Tribolium castaneum: one gene and its partners. The protein of the gene in region 1 interacts with the protein of each later gene in a pairwise test. Links are inferred from orthologs where the notes say so. Each region holds a gene or a part of one and is shown in the gene's direction. Other genes may lie near its edges.

Region 1 (2,136 bases):
AACGGCAATAAACACGCTAGAAACATGGAAAATGTAATCTGTTTTTGCTTTAAAATACGAGCATATTAAACAAAATTCATTACTCAAGAAACAATAGCGAAAACTTTTGATTTTAAGTTTTTACATAAGTTTTAAAAAAACACTCAAAAATAGTAGTAATGTGCTAGGTTTTCACCGGTATAGTTTCTAACAATTAATTTTTTTCTTTTCTCGTATTAATAAAATTAAATCGAGAGAACTAGACAACCCGTTATATTTTTTTTACTTTAAGCTCCTTTTACTTAAACTGCATCAATTCCTTCGTAAATTGCTTTTTAATTTAGCATTTACTTACACAATCATCATTACTTACATCAAAAACATCTTTGGTTTTGAAACAGATAAAAAAATCTATAGAAATTCAAACCGTTATTCCAGTTCTAGAACACCTTTCAAATGATAATCTCGAATCTAATAATTGCTGTTCATTCTTTTCTAGAATAATCCAGAACGTTTCCTTTTATTTTTTCCAAGTAAACCAAAATTTATTTTTGCCTCCTGCTTATAATTAAGGAAGTGGCGGCTAGACATGTAAATATACATTTCTTGAAAGAAAAATTACTATTTGACGTGTAAAAATAGATCCTTATCGAAAGAAGATAAGCAGAAATGTGCAAGTTGATGTTAAAAACATGGTCACTGCAATCAATTATTTTTTCATCTCGTTCGATACTTTTTTCCCCGTGACCTTATTTTGTGAAGGTAATGATAACAAAAAATAACAATATTGCACAGAATTACGAAAAAATAATTTAGACGCAGTAAAAACAAGACTATCAGTAAAAAATTTATATTATAACCGTCAGCAAAAATATCATGGCCACATCAAGTTCACGTGGTGTATTGGTTGGCAATAAAATACAACAGAAAAACCCTAAGACGCCCACGCTAATTTAGAAAGTAAATAAATAAACAATGAAATAAATAAATGCGAAATCAAGGACAGGCGGCACCGAGTCGAGTTGACTGTTCCAAGAGTGAAAAAACCATTGTTCTGTCTTCAGATGCGCATATGATTAATTTTAATTAATTAAAAATTACTAATTTATGGTCAAGTCGGCGGAAATAGCGACTTTGTCGCTCGAGTTGGCAGCAGTGCGCGTGCGTCCCCACGGGTATAAAACCCAGGCGGCTGTGGCCCGCTTCAGTTGTTTGAATTGACGTTTGACAGTGAAAAAATCTCGTGCAAAAACCAAAATGTCCGAAGCTCATTTCGACGAATATGAACATTACAACTTCTTGTACGACAAGCACATCTACAGCGGCCACAGTGGCAAGCAAAGGAGCAAGAAGGAGGTCAGCGAGCACACGAACCACTTCGACCCCAGCGGACATTCCAGAAAAATCGTCACCAAGATGATGAACACGGAACAGAATAGAAGGGCGAAGCACTGATCTCGAATCCCCAATCTGTGATTTTCCAAAGACGTTCAGTGGCGAGTTTTGAGGATTTTGTGATTTTGTTTGACACCTCGGTAGAAGACATTGCTTTCATGATATTGTTGTGTTGATAGAAATGGTGTTGACGCGATGATTATATTAAATTATTGTTAGTTTTTCGAGTATTGTATTTTTTCAATAAATACTGTACACCTGATGTAGTGTTTTATTTTATTTGCGTTGGTAGACAACCATTGGAAAGTTTCCAGAAGGTTGGCGCGGGGCGGTAGAGGTGTGCGCAGGGTCAACGATTGCGCTTTGTTTGGTTTCTAATTATAGCAGGCCATGGACGTATCCGTTTTTTGTTTTTTTTTTAACTTTAATCTAGAAGAGATTTTTGAGCTGTTCTAGAAGTAAATTCCACTGTATAATGATGATGAAATAATTATTTGTAAAATTCGAAATCCGACAGTATTTATGTTAAAAATAAAAGAAGAAATCACTAGCTATTTCAGTTTTAAAACAAAATGAATAAAAACTTGAGATTTAATAGTAGGCGTTTAAAAGATTTTTTTTTCATTAACAAAACCATCAGACAATAGAAGTCATTTTGCCAAATTAACTTCTGTAACTTACATTATTCATCGTTGCCAACTTAATTTCAGTCACAGGCCACTTGAGCAAAAACTAATTGAATCCATGGCATTTTGGAATTTT
Region 2 (4,286 bases), on another chromosome or scaffold:
AACTAAAGAAGAGAGCAGAAAATGCTACCAAAGAATATAAAAAAGTCTGAACAAAACTATAGGATTATTTTGAAAGAAGTCTACAAAATAATTAAGAGGAATTTATAAACAAGCCTAAAGATGAACTTATAAAATAATCTAAAGAAAAATCAAGAGAAGAGTGGAGAAACATTGATAAAGAATAATCTATAAAACTTCTAAACATTACTGGAGAATTGTGCAAAGACGCAGAGTAAATCTAAAAGATAATTTTTGTAATTTGTCGCCATTTTAATGCCTTTAACAGCCATATTAAAGCACGCAACGTCATCAAGTGCTATGTCACAATAGTCATTATTTGATTAAACATTTTACGAAAATTTTTAAGTTGGCAGGAAGCAAATTCGCGACCGTATTTTTGCCAAAATTTGGATAAAACAAAAATTTTCCAAATTGGGACAATTGTCACAAAAATCCCTAAATCGATTTTCACTTAAAAACGGCAAAAATGGGGCAAATTACGAAAAATAGTATAAGAAAACTCCTCATTTGGGTAATTTGCAAGTGCCTCAGTTGGCAACTCTGCCCGCTTTCTTTCACCTCCAATTTAGCCAATAACAAGTGGCCAAGTGAAACAAACGAAGTACGAGTTTGACGTGTCGCAGGTTTGTGTTTTGTTTCATTTGTTTATTATCACCACACGTAATCATAGATGCGAAAACCATCGCACAGTTAAGTTAGAAATGTGTTCAAGTTACATTCTAGGCTCACTACTACTTCTGTTTAGTTATACGCGGCCAACAAACGGCTGCAAAGGCTGCGTTTCATTGGACGAGTACAATTTTGATAAGATTGTTTCGAGATTTGATGCGGTTTTGGTGAAATTCGACGTGGCTTATCCCTACGGTGAGAAACACGATGTTTTCACCAAACTTGCCGAAGAACTCGCCCAAAACGACAAACTCATACTCGCCGAAGTCGGCGTCAAGGACTACGGCGACAAGGAAAACGAACAATTGGCCCTTAAGTTCGGGGTCGGAAAGGACGATTTGCCCGCAGTTAGGCTCTTCGTCAAGGGCAAGGCGCCGGTGGAATTCGCCAAAAGTGCCGAATGGACTGTGGATAACTTGAGGAACGTTGTGAAGGACAACACCGATATCTACCTTGGACTTCCCGGCTGTCTGGAAAAGTTTGATAAACTGGCAATGGAATTTGTCAATACGGGGTACAAGCAGAAAAAACTGGAAGAAGCCCAAGCAAAAGCCGCCGAATTGACCGACAAGGAGAAGGAAACAGCGGCCGTTTACCTTAAATATATGTCGAAAATTGTCGAAACTGGGTCGGAGTTCGTCACCCAGGAGCTGGGGCGTTTGAAGAGAATCCTGAAGGAGGGCAAAGTGAACGAGCAGAAGAAAGCCGAACTGAGCACCCGTCTGAACATTTTGCGCTCATTTTCCCTACCCAGAAACGAATTGTAACTAAAATAAACGCCTTTCCTTACATTGCGTTTGAATTTGGCGCCCTGTCTGTCAAACGGTCCCGCCCCGCCATTGGCTGTCTACGCCATTTTGACATTTCCCAGTTAAAACACAACACACGAACGAAAGTCGTTATTTTTGGGTTAGAAAGCCGGTTTTCGCACGAAATGTCCGAAATTATCGTAAGTTTGCTTGAATAATTTGGAAAAGTCGTTTAGGGGACGCTTTCAGGACACCGAGGCGAAAGATCGCACTCTGAGCGAGAGTTCCGACACCGAGCTGGACCCCCAGTTTAAGCCCATTGTGAGTTTGCCGGAGGTCGAAGTTCGCACGAACGAGGAGAATGAGACGGTGTTGCTGAAAATGCGGGCTAAACTGTACCGGTTTGATAAGTCCAGTAAGCCCCCCGAGTGGAAGGAGAGGGGCACAGGGGAATTAAAAATTTTGCAACTTGACAATTCGGTGCGAATAGTGATGAGGCGTGATAAGACTTTGAAGGTTTGTGCCAATCATTTTATCAGGCCGTGGATGAGTCTGGAGCCCTGTAAGGGGACAGAAAAGGCGTTTGTTTACACGGTGGTGGCGGATTTTGCCGACGAGGAGGCCAAGAAGGAGTGCTTCGCTATCAAATTTGGAAGTGTTGATAGTAAGTTGGGTTAAATAATAAATTGTTTAGTTTTTGGTGATTTGGGGGTTTGAGTGAAAGTCGGTTGGCAACACTGAATTATAGGCGAGCGAAAAGTTTGGTACAATTTTGCTTAAATGGAAATAGTTCAAATTTTACACAGAACATTTTAATTTGTGATCGATTTGACTCTTAAAAAATATAAGTGTGCTGTTATTATTTTTTCTATAGTTTTGAAATAGGAAGTACGTCGACTAGGGAGGACTATGAATTAGGAGACGAAAAGAGATTTTCTGTACCCAAAAAATATAGTTCGGCAGAGTACAAATGAGGGCGCTTTGAACGTTATATCGTCACGACACCGATTTTAATTTATTAATTATTTGGAAAAAATTACAGAAATGTTGAGCTTTGCATTCTTAATAGGCTGACGACTAACATTTTTACGAGAAACATGCGAAAGAATTATATATTTAAATTCTAAAATTTACGCTTCGTTTTATACTTTACAAATATACAAGAAAAATTTTAGTAAGAAACTTGTAGAGAGTTAAGTTAAATTTCCTTTAAAAAAATCGCGACACCATATCGTGAGCTTAGCGGTGAAAATCATTAACTAATATTTTCATGTTTTTGGGGTATGTACGAAATAATAATTATTAATTGGTGTAAAAAAACAAAATAATTTAAGAAGTTATTTCTATATAAATATTAAAAGGATAATTGCTACTTACCAGTGTGTGAACATAATGTTGAAAAGTTGCAGTATAAAATTTAAAAAAATTCTCGTGTGCACTTAATAAATCTTACTTTTTAAATATTTTTTTAATTAATGGAGATAATAATTTTAATTTAACAATATCCGAAAGTATATTTTTTAAATATATATTCTATATTTTTCCAGTGGTACTAGGTTCAGGACAAATTTTGTTTGCGTTTCTTTTGTTGCATAATTTTATTAAGCATCATATCGATAGAAAATAGTTCCTGGAAAGTTTTCATATTTTAAAGATTTTATTTTTAAACACTGTACCCCATTTATCCCCTCTTTATCTTTATTTCTGTTTTTGTTTGGGCGGAAAATTCTCCCAAATTATACAAGTCAGTTCGTTTTTGCCTTCATTTTTGCTCATGGTACAAACATATGTAAAATTATATAAAACCGAGTGTAAAATTAATATTTTTTAAAAGAAACAGTGAGTAACAGCCTTTAATAACAAATACAGGTGATGTTATTGACTTTTACCTGTACAAAAAAATCAGATTGTAATTAATGTATTCTAAAGTGTTTTTTCATCATATTGTTTTTGCAAAAGGAAAACAAATTAAAATATATATATTAGCTGTTTCAAAACAGTTAATTTCAACAAAATAATTTCAATAAGAGATCTAATTAATAACTATTTTACATTTTTATTAATCTTATTAAAAAAATATATATCAGTAAAATGGCGATATTGGCGTTTTTATAGTTTTGAAACAACTAATAATCGCATTTAACTCATTTTTACTTTAAATGCACTCTCTATACCAGTGATATTTCTATCTTCAAACCTTTCAAAAATTTTTAAATTTAATCCTCTACAAGTTTGTTCCTTATATTTTTTGTACCTTCAGCCGAATTCACAGCGTCCACAAAAATATAAAGTGGAACGCAAATTGGTAATAATTTATAATAATTTCGATAAATTGTTTGCACGCACTGTCTTAATCTCTGACTATGTACTTTTTGGTTTAAAAGTCTTACTGTTCCATTGCAATTTTTGAAGATGAAACCAAAGTCTAATCAATATTTTCTGTTAAGTTTTTGGATCCTCTAATATTTTTTTCTTTACTTCTAAAATTAAGCTTTAAACATCTGTGAAATAATAATCACACTTTGTTATTATTACTGTTTTTAACACACTTGTCTGGCTGTAAAATAGGATGTTTATTTACCTAGTATTACTTCTTTTTCTATTCTATTCTATAAAGTTTAAGCATTTGAAATAAGTCTTTATTTATGTGGTTGTGAGTAAACAAATAATTTGTGTTTAATTGGTTGCCAAATCCTTGATGAGAGTCTAACTGAAGCAGTAATTATATAATTTTTTTAACGCGAATGTATTTTTATGTAAACTTTTTATAAACAAAAAACAAAAGACAAAGTTAAAAGAAGAATCAAGAAAGTCGGTGTCTAATTTTTAGCCAGTTTAAAACTAGTG
Region 3 (2,287 bases), on another chromosome or scaffold:
CCGCTTATGCTCCAAAGCTGGTTCGAGTGCTCGGCAAAAGGGCCGCTTTTTACTGAGTTTATGTACTGGATGCAAGTGAGGAACATGAAGTCCTCTCCATACTGGTTTAAAATTTGCGGCACCAAAAAACCCGACGGTTCAATGATCGGATGGGCTAAACAAACATAGTGGAAAAAACTTGGATGGAAATTGCGTTAATCTTAATTTTTTTAACTTAAATTTGGCCCAAATTTTTCCGAAGCGTTTTGTAAACCGAGAGTTTTTTTGTTTACTTACCAAACAGCTGCGAGCTGCCCCAAATAAACGGCACAAACTGGTAGTCGTCCAGACTCCAAACGCCGTGACTTCCGGCGGGCTCCATCCGGTAGGTCTTTTGTAATTTCCGCGCCAAGTCCAAATACCGCGTAAAAATGGCACAGCCAGTGGCTGTCTTATCATGTTGTTTCAAAAACCCGATTTTATACAAACAGCACAGGAACATAATGAATGAAATTTCGTGCCCCGTCCCGTAGTCAATCCGTGTGGAATTCCCGAACGATTCCACCAAATATGAAACGATCTCGGGGACGGCGGCATTTAATTCAGTCGGGAGCACATCCTGGAGCAAGACAAGCGACTCCTGGAAAACGCCCGTCAGAATAGAAACAAACGCGAATTTGTGGACCCACATCTCGCAGTTTCTGGTACCAGGTCCTGAACGCCACGTTTCCGAACCTTTGGGGCTGTTGTACAGCGGGCGTTTCGTCGATTTTCGTGTCAAGCTTGTTCAACAACTCGATCACTTTCTGGACTTCCTCGGAGGCGTTTTCGCTCCCGCGCGAATTGCTTTTGCCTTTAACTGCCTCGTTTATGGCCAGAATGAACCCCAAAAATTCCTATGGAATGAGAGTGTTAGATGAGGTCACGCCTAGAGGGAATTGTACAAAATAGGCCTCGGATTTCTCCCAGATTTTCATATCAGCCGGTGTTTTGATCAGTTTTGTGGGGACTTCGAAGACGTGGTCGGACCCCACTGGAACAAGCCGGTGAAAAAGGGGGAAAGAACGATGGGGAAATACCTGTGGTGGCAACGGAGGCCGCCGAGCGGCCCCGCGGGGCCGCAGGCCCGATACCCACCGCGAAAGACTCGGACATAATTGTTCTATTCATTTTATTTGTTTAATAAACACAAATCATAACCTTTCAATGATAAAAATGGCACGTCAAAGTGACAACTGACAGTTCTTCTAACCTAACAAATTATATTTTTTTGAAAAGTGTTTTATACATTGTTTTTCACTGAGCCAAAAGTATGCAAGGGCCTAAACCAGTTCAATTGTCCAAGTCCATCCTGGACATGAAGTTTATGAAACGTACGAAGGAAAGGGTGCTCAAGGAGCAGGAAGATGCCGAGGGCAAAGCCATGTATTCCAATGAAATCACCGACGAAATGAAGAAAAGCGGGACCATTGTATTCACAGAAACGAGTATCTTTAACTGCCGAAATTTAATCGAAGGGCGCTTATCATTTGGTGGCATGAATCCGGAAATAGAGAAACTGATGTCTAACGATTACACTAGGAAGAAACAAGAGGTGGAAAAACGCAAAGAAACCGACGTTAGTGACGCCCAAATGGCTCAGGAATACTCCACTCTAGTTAACACAATGGCAAATAAATTCAGCGGGAAGAAAAACAGAAATAAGCGGAAGTTTATAAAGCCATCTGAAGACTTCTAGTTAACCTAGTTTCGTATTTTGATTACATTGTATAAACTTTTTTTTGAATAAATTGAAGCCTGATATCTTATTTGTGCCAATTTTGTATTTTTAGCTCGCAAATCACCCTTTTAACGGCTGGTTTTGAGCGTAATTATGCGTAAATTGCGACTCATAACAACGTTATCAGCCGATAATTTTGTGTTTACTTGGTTATCTGTTTCTGATTCATTAAAAAAATGCATAGACAAAGCAAGCACGTGCCAAAATTTGCACAAGCTTTCAAACTTCCCGCTTTAGCGCTTGCGCAGATCTGTCGTCCTTTCTTATCAAATCTGTGCTCGTGTTGAATTGGTGAGTCCAATAATCAATTTTTTCCCCAATAGTAAACAAATTTAAATATAAAGTCCACATTTTCCGAGTTCGCATTTGAGATTTTTATGCCGCGAAATCAGTACATAAACACTGACTGACGTAGTTTGAAATATCGCTGAGAGGTTATATAAGATTCTAATTTTAATTTATTCACTCTGAGAAGGTTTTTGCGAGTTCACAAGAGAATCAGTCAAGGTAATGAAGGTCGTGGCACGT
Region 4 (3,180 bases), on another chromosome or scaffold:
ATTACCCTACTTCGGCCATTTCTGAATGTGAGTGTTCCGAGACAAGCTTAAAAAATACCATTTTATTTCAAAATAAAGCTACTTTGGCTATTGTTAACCGACTTAGCTCAACAATTTCTATATTCTTTATCCAAACAACTCAAAAATTTTGTTCCGTCAGTTCAGAAATATTAACAAAATTGTCACTTGCAAAAAAATTGGCATTTTCGAGGGAATTGGTGGTAAGTATCGCACACAATATTTTTTCTACAGCCATCAAACAGGAGGGATAAATATGATCAGAGAGTTCTAGGTGTAATAATAAAATTGCATACGAAAAACATTTATTATTTGTGAACTGATGTGTGATTTTACTCACACTTGATGACTGATCTTTTTGTGCTTACTAAGATTGCCCGTTGTTGTAAAACCCTTCCCACAGTTCGTACACACATAGGGCCGTTCGCCCGTATGTGTCCGCGTATGAATCGTTAAATGAATATTTTTGGAAAAAAGTTTACCACAAACCTGGCACATGAAGGGCTTCTCCCCTGTATGTTTCCTCATGTGAATCCTCAGCACTCTTGGGTGGACAAAAGACATGTCGCAGAGCTTGCAATGGTGCTTTTTCTCATCACAGTGAGTGCTGTTTATGTGAGTCGAGAGGTTGCTCCGAGTCGAGTAAGTTTTACCACATTGGCTGCAAATATACGGCCTCTCACCTACAACAAACAAAAAATTATAATAAAAAATAATGACCTTTTTTTGAGAAAATACCGGAATGGACCCTTGCGTGCACATTCAAGTTGTATTTCTTGGCAAAGGCTTTAGTGCAAACTTTGCATTTGAAGGGCTTATCATCGGGGGGCGCATGTGTCAGCATGTGGTGCTCCAACCCGGACGAGCAATTGAACGTCTTGCCACACACTGTGCACAAATACTGTTTTTCCTTACGTTTGTCCTCACCACTGTCCAAAAGGGGGCTATCTATGAACGAGAGGGACTGCTCTTCCCTCGCAGCACTAAAAACTTAACACCCCCAGTGTTAAAACACCAAACAGCCACTAAACCTACCTTCAAACGAGCAAAACTCGCACAAGTCTGCGCCCCCGCCCAGCACAAATTTCGCACACCTGGCGAGCCCCAAATCGGCGTTCAGACAAAACCGCACATCATGGAGCGAATAAATGAGACTTGTTAGATCGGAAATTGTCTCAATTTTGGACGCTGAGCTCGGGAGTTGCACAATTTCGTCACGAAACGACACGGAAGTCTTTAAAGTGCCGCTATCGCAAGTCAGGAGCACCCCCTTATCAATGACCACTTTATCACAGTGGGGCTTGACGTGCAACACGGCCAGGAACTGCTCCTTGGGGTCAATGTGCACGGCCCAGAGGGGCGTCGGGAGGGTCATTAAGTGCAAGTTTTTCACGAAATCACCAATTACCGACGCACACATTTTCCAGAATAACGCTTGACTGGAAGTTTGGTTATGTTCAACAATTGTAAACAAAAACGAATCGCGGTGGCTGACAGGGCGACTTGACCAGTCACAAAAATGTTAAAAAACGGTATTTTATGAGTTTGTGAAAGTTGTGCCCCCTTTTCTAAATTAATTAAGCCGTTCTACGGCCGTAACGTGTGATTTGTCGGTGCGTTCGATTGATTTGATAAATTTTTTGACGTTGTGGCTTTTAGGTTAGGTACACGTCACTTGTTCGGGGCAAAAATGGACATAACAATACTTTTCAAGGCTTGTGTTAAGACTGTGAGGACGACTAACAAGGCCTTAGGCCTGCAAGAGTCCAAACCGGCGCTCCCGAAGTCGGGTCCGAAGGACCCCAATTTGGCGACTGCTAAAGAAGTGGTGAAGCAAATAACGCACTTCCAAACCTTCCTCTTAGAGAATAAAGCAGCGTACTTGAACGTACTAAACTATTTATCCACCAATAAAACCATGACGGAGGTTGACCGAGAGCAAATAGACACAACAGCTGAGAAAATCGTAACCACATGTACTTCCCTCATTAGCGACTATAAAAAAGAAATTTGCAAGCTGCCCAAAAGCAAGCAAAAGGAGGAACACTACCACAACGTGATCGACTCACTCGAGCGCTACTTAAAGACAGTTAGCAAAATATACACCGAGGCGAAGGCAATTCGCGTGAAACGTGTCTTGGAGACGCACAAAGTGGCCAAATTGGAGACAATTGGCAGTAAAGGGAGTTTGGAACCCCCGATTGTACCCCCAGTATCGCCCCCTCCCGTCGATATCGAAGACCAGCTATCAGTTGAAGAAATGCAAATGTTTGAGTCGGAAAACGAAATGCTCTACAATGAGCTCAACTCAACGTCCGAGGAAGTCAAACAAATGGAAAGCAAAGTCGTGCACATTGCCGAACTTCAGGAATTATTCACGGAGAAGGTCTTGCAACAGGAACAGGATATAGAAAGGATTGCAAACAACGTCGTGGGGGCTACGAGTAACATGCGGGACGCTAATGAGCAAATCAGACAAGCGATTCAAAGGAATGCAGGCTTGAGGGTCTGGGTGCTGTTTTTTCTGCTAGTTATGTCGTTTTCGCTGCTGTTTCTCGACTGGTATAACGATTAACAAACCTAGAAAAAATAAATTATTTATAAGAAAAAACATATTTTTGTATAACTCGGCAATAAAGAATAAATCGACCAAAAAGGTTCTTACATTAAAAAAAATACATAAAACATTGCTGAAACCCAAGCTTAATAATTTGTTTGTTTGCAAACTGTGGCTGATAGAAAAGGAATTATAAAATTCGGGACATTCTATTTGAAAAATTTTTGAGTTTAACATTTTTCCAATTTCGAACTCATTGAAGCAAAGGTTTGTTTTCTTTGTAAAATGCCCAAAAAACGATTTCAAAATCTTTAAAAATGGCACAGCTACTGATTTTTGAAGTGAAAGGTATGAAACCAAAAATTTTCGAAACCCAAATAACGGGAAAGCTGATGTAAACTCCCTGATATAACACGAGTAACCCATTTTTCATTAAAAACATGAATAAATATTACCACAACTTCCAATACTTCTCATATGGGGATTGGACAAAACAGTCTATAGTTTTTTTGTTAACTAGGATATAAAAGAAAAGGACTGTAGGATTGAGGGTCTGGTCTTGTTAATTACTTTTGTGTACTGGTATTCCAATTAATGAAACCTAC

Evidence for each region.
Region 2: the proteins of nuclear protein 1 (region 1) and ran-specific GTPase-activating protein interact in a two-hybrid assay, tested with the Homo sapiens proteins (2 studies listed by BioGRID and IntAct). The link is inferred for Tribolium castaneum from reciprocal best matches to the Homo sapiens genes NUPR1 and RANBP1.
Region 3: the proteins of nuclear protein 1 (region 1) and Mpp6 interact in a two-hybrid assay, tested with the Homo sapiens proteins (2 studies listed by BioGRID and IntAct). The link is inferred for Tribolium castaneum from reciprocal best matches to the Homo sapiens genes NUPR1 and MPHOSPH6.
Region 4: the proteins of nuclear protein 1 (region 1) and Syx18 interact in a two-hybrid assay, tested with the Homo sapiens proteins (2 studies listed by BioGRID and IntAct). The link is inferred for Tribolium castaneum from reciprocal best matches to the Homo sapiens genes NUPR1 and STX18.

The regions. Positions count from the first base shown.
Region 1 is NC_087399.1:2,801,017-2,803,152, reverse strand, and holds nuclear protein 1, read left to right. Parts: upstream 1-1,159; 5' UTR 1,160-1,236; coding exon 1,237-1,434; 3' UTR 1,435-1,636; downstream 1,637-2,136. UniProt on the Homo sapiens protein: Transcription regulator that converts stress signals into a program of gene expression that empowers cells with resistance to the stress induced by a change in their microenvironment.
Region 2 is NC_087401.1:11,103,122-11,107,407, reverse strand, and holds the start of ran-specific GTPase-activating protein, read left to right. Parts: upstream 1-1,481; 5' UTR 1,482-1,624; coding exon 1,625-1,639; intron 1,640-1,688; coding exon 1,689-2,103; intron 2,104-4,286. Other genes in the region: wbl (protein windbeutel), read left to right, coding at 723-1,457. UniProt on the Homo sapiens protein: Plays a role in RAN-dependent nucleocytoplasmic transport. Alleviates the TNPO1-dependent inhibition of RAN GTPase activity and mediates the dissociation of RAN from proteins involved in transport into the nucleus.
Region 3 is NC_087398.1:4,380,000-4,382,286, forward strand, and holds Mpp6 (M-phase phosphoprotein 6), read left to right. Parts: upstream 1-1,291; coding exon 1,292-1,717; downstream 1,718-2,287. Other genes in the region: Ptpa (serine/threonine-protein phosphatase 2A activator), read right to left, coding at 1-154, 277-619, 669-875, 924-1,012, 1,059-1,149. UniProt on the Homo sapiens protein: RNA-binding protein that associates with the RNA exosome complex. Involved in the 3'-processing of the 7S pre-RNA to the mature 5.8S rRNA and play a role in recruiting the RNA exosome complex to pre-rRNA; this function may include C1D.
Region 4 is NC_087400.1:1,050,947-1,054,126, forward strand, and holds Syx18 (syntaxin-18), read left to right. Parts: upstream 1-1,489; 5' UTR 1,490-1,627; exon of another isoform or gene 1,628-1,631; intron 1,632-1,677; 5' UTR 1,678-1,708; coding exon 1,709-2,593; 3' UTR 2,594-2,674; downstream 2,675-3,180. Other genes in the region: zinc finger protein 239, read right to left, coding at 355-701, 757-1,008, 1,054-1,438. UniProt on the Homo sapiens protein: Syntaxin that may be involved in targeting and fusion of Golgi-derived retrograde transport vesicles with the ER.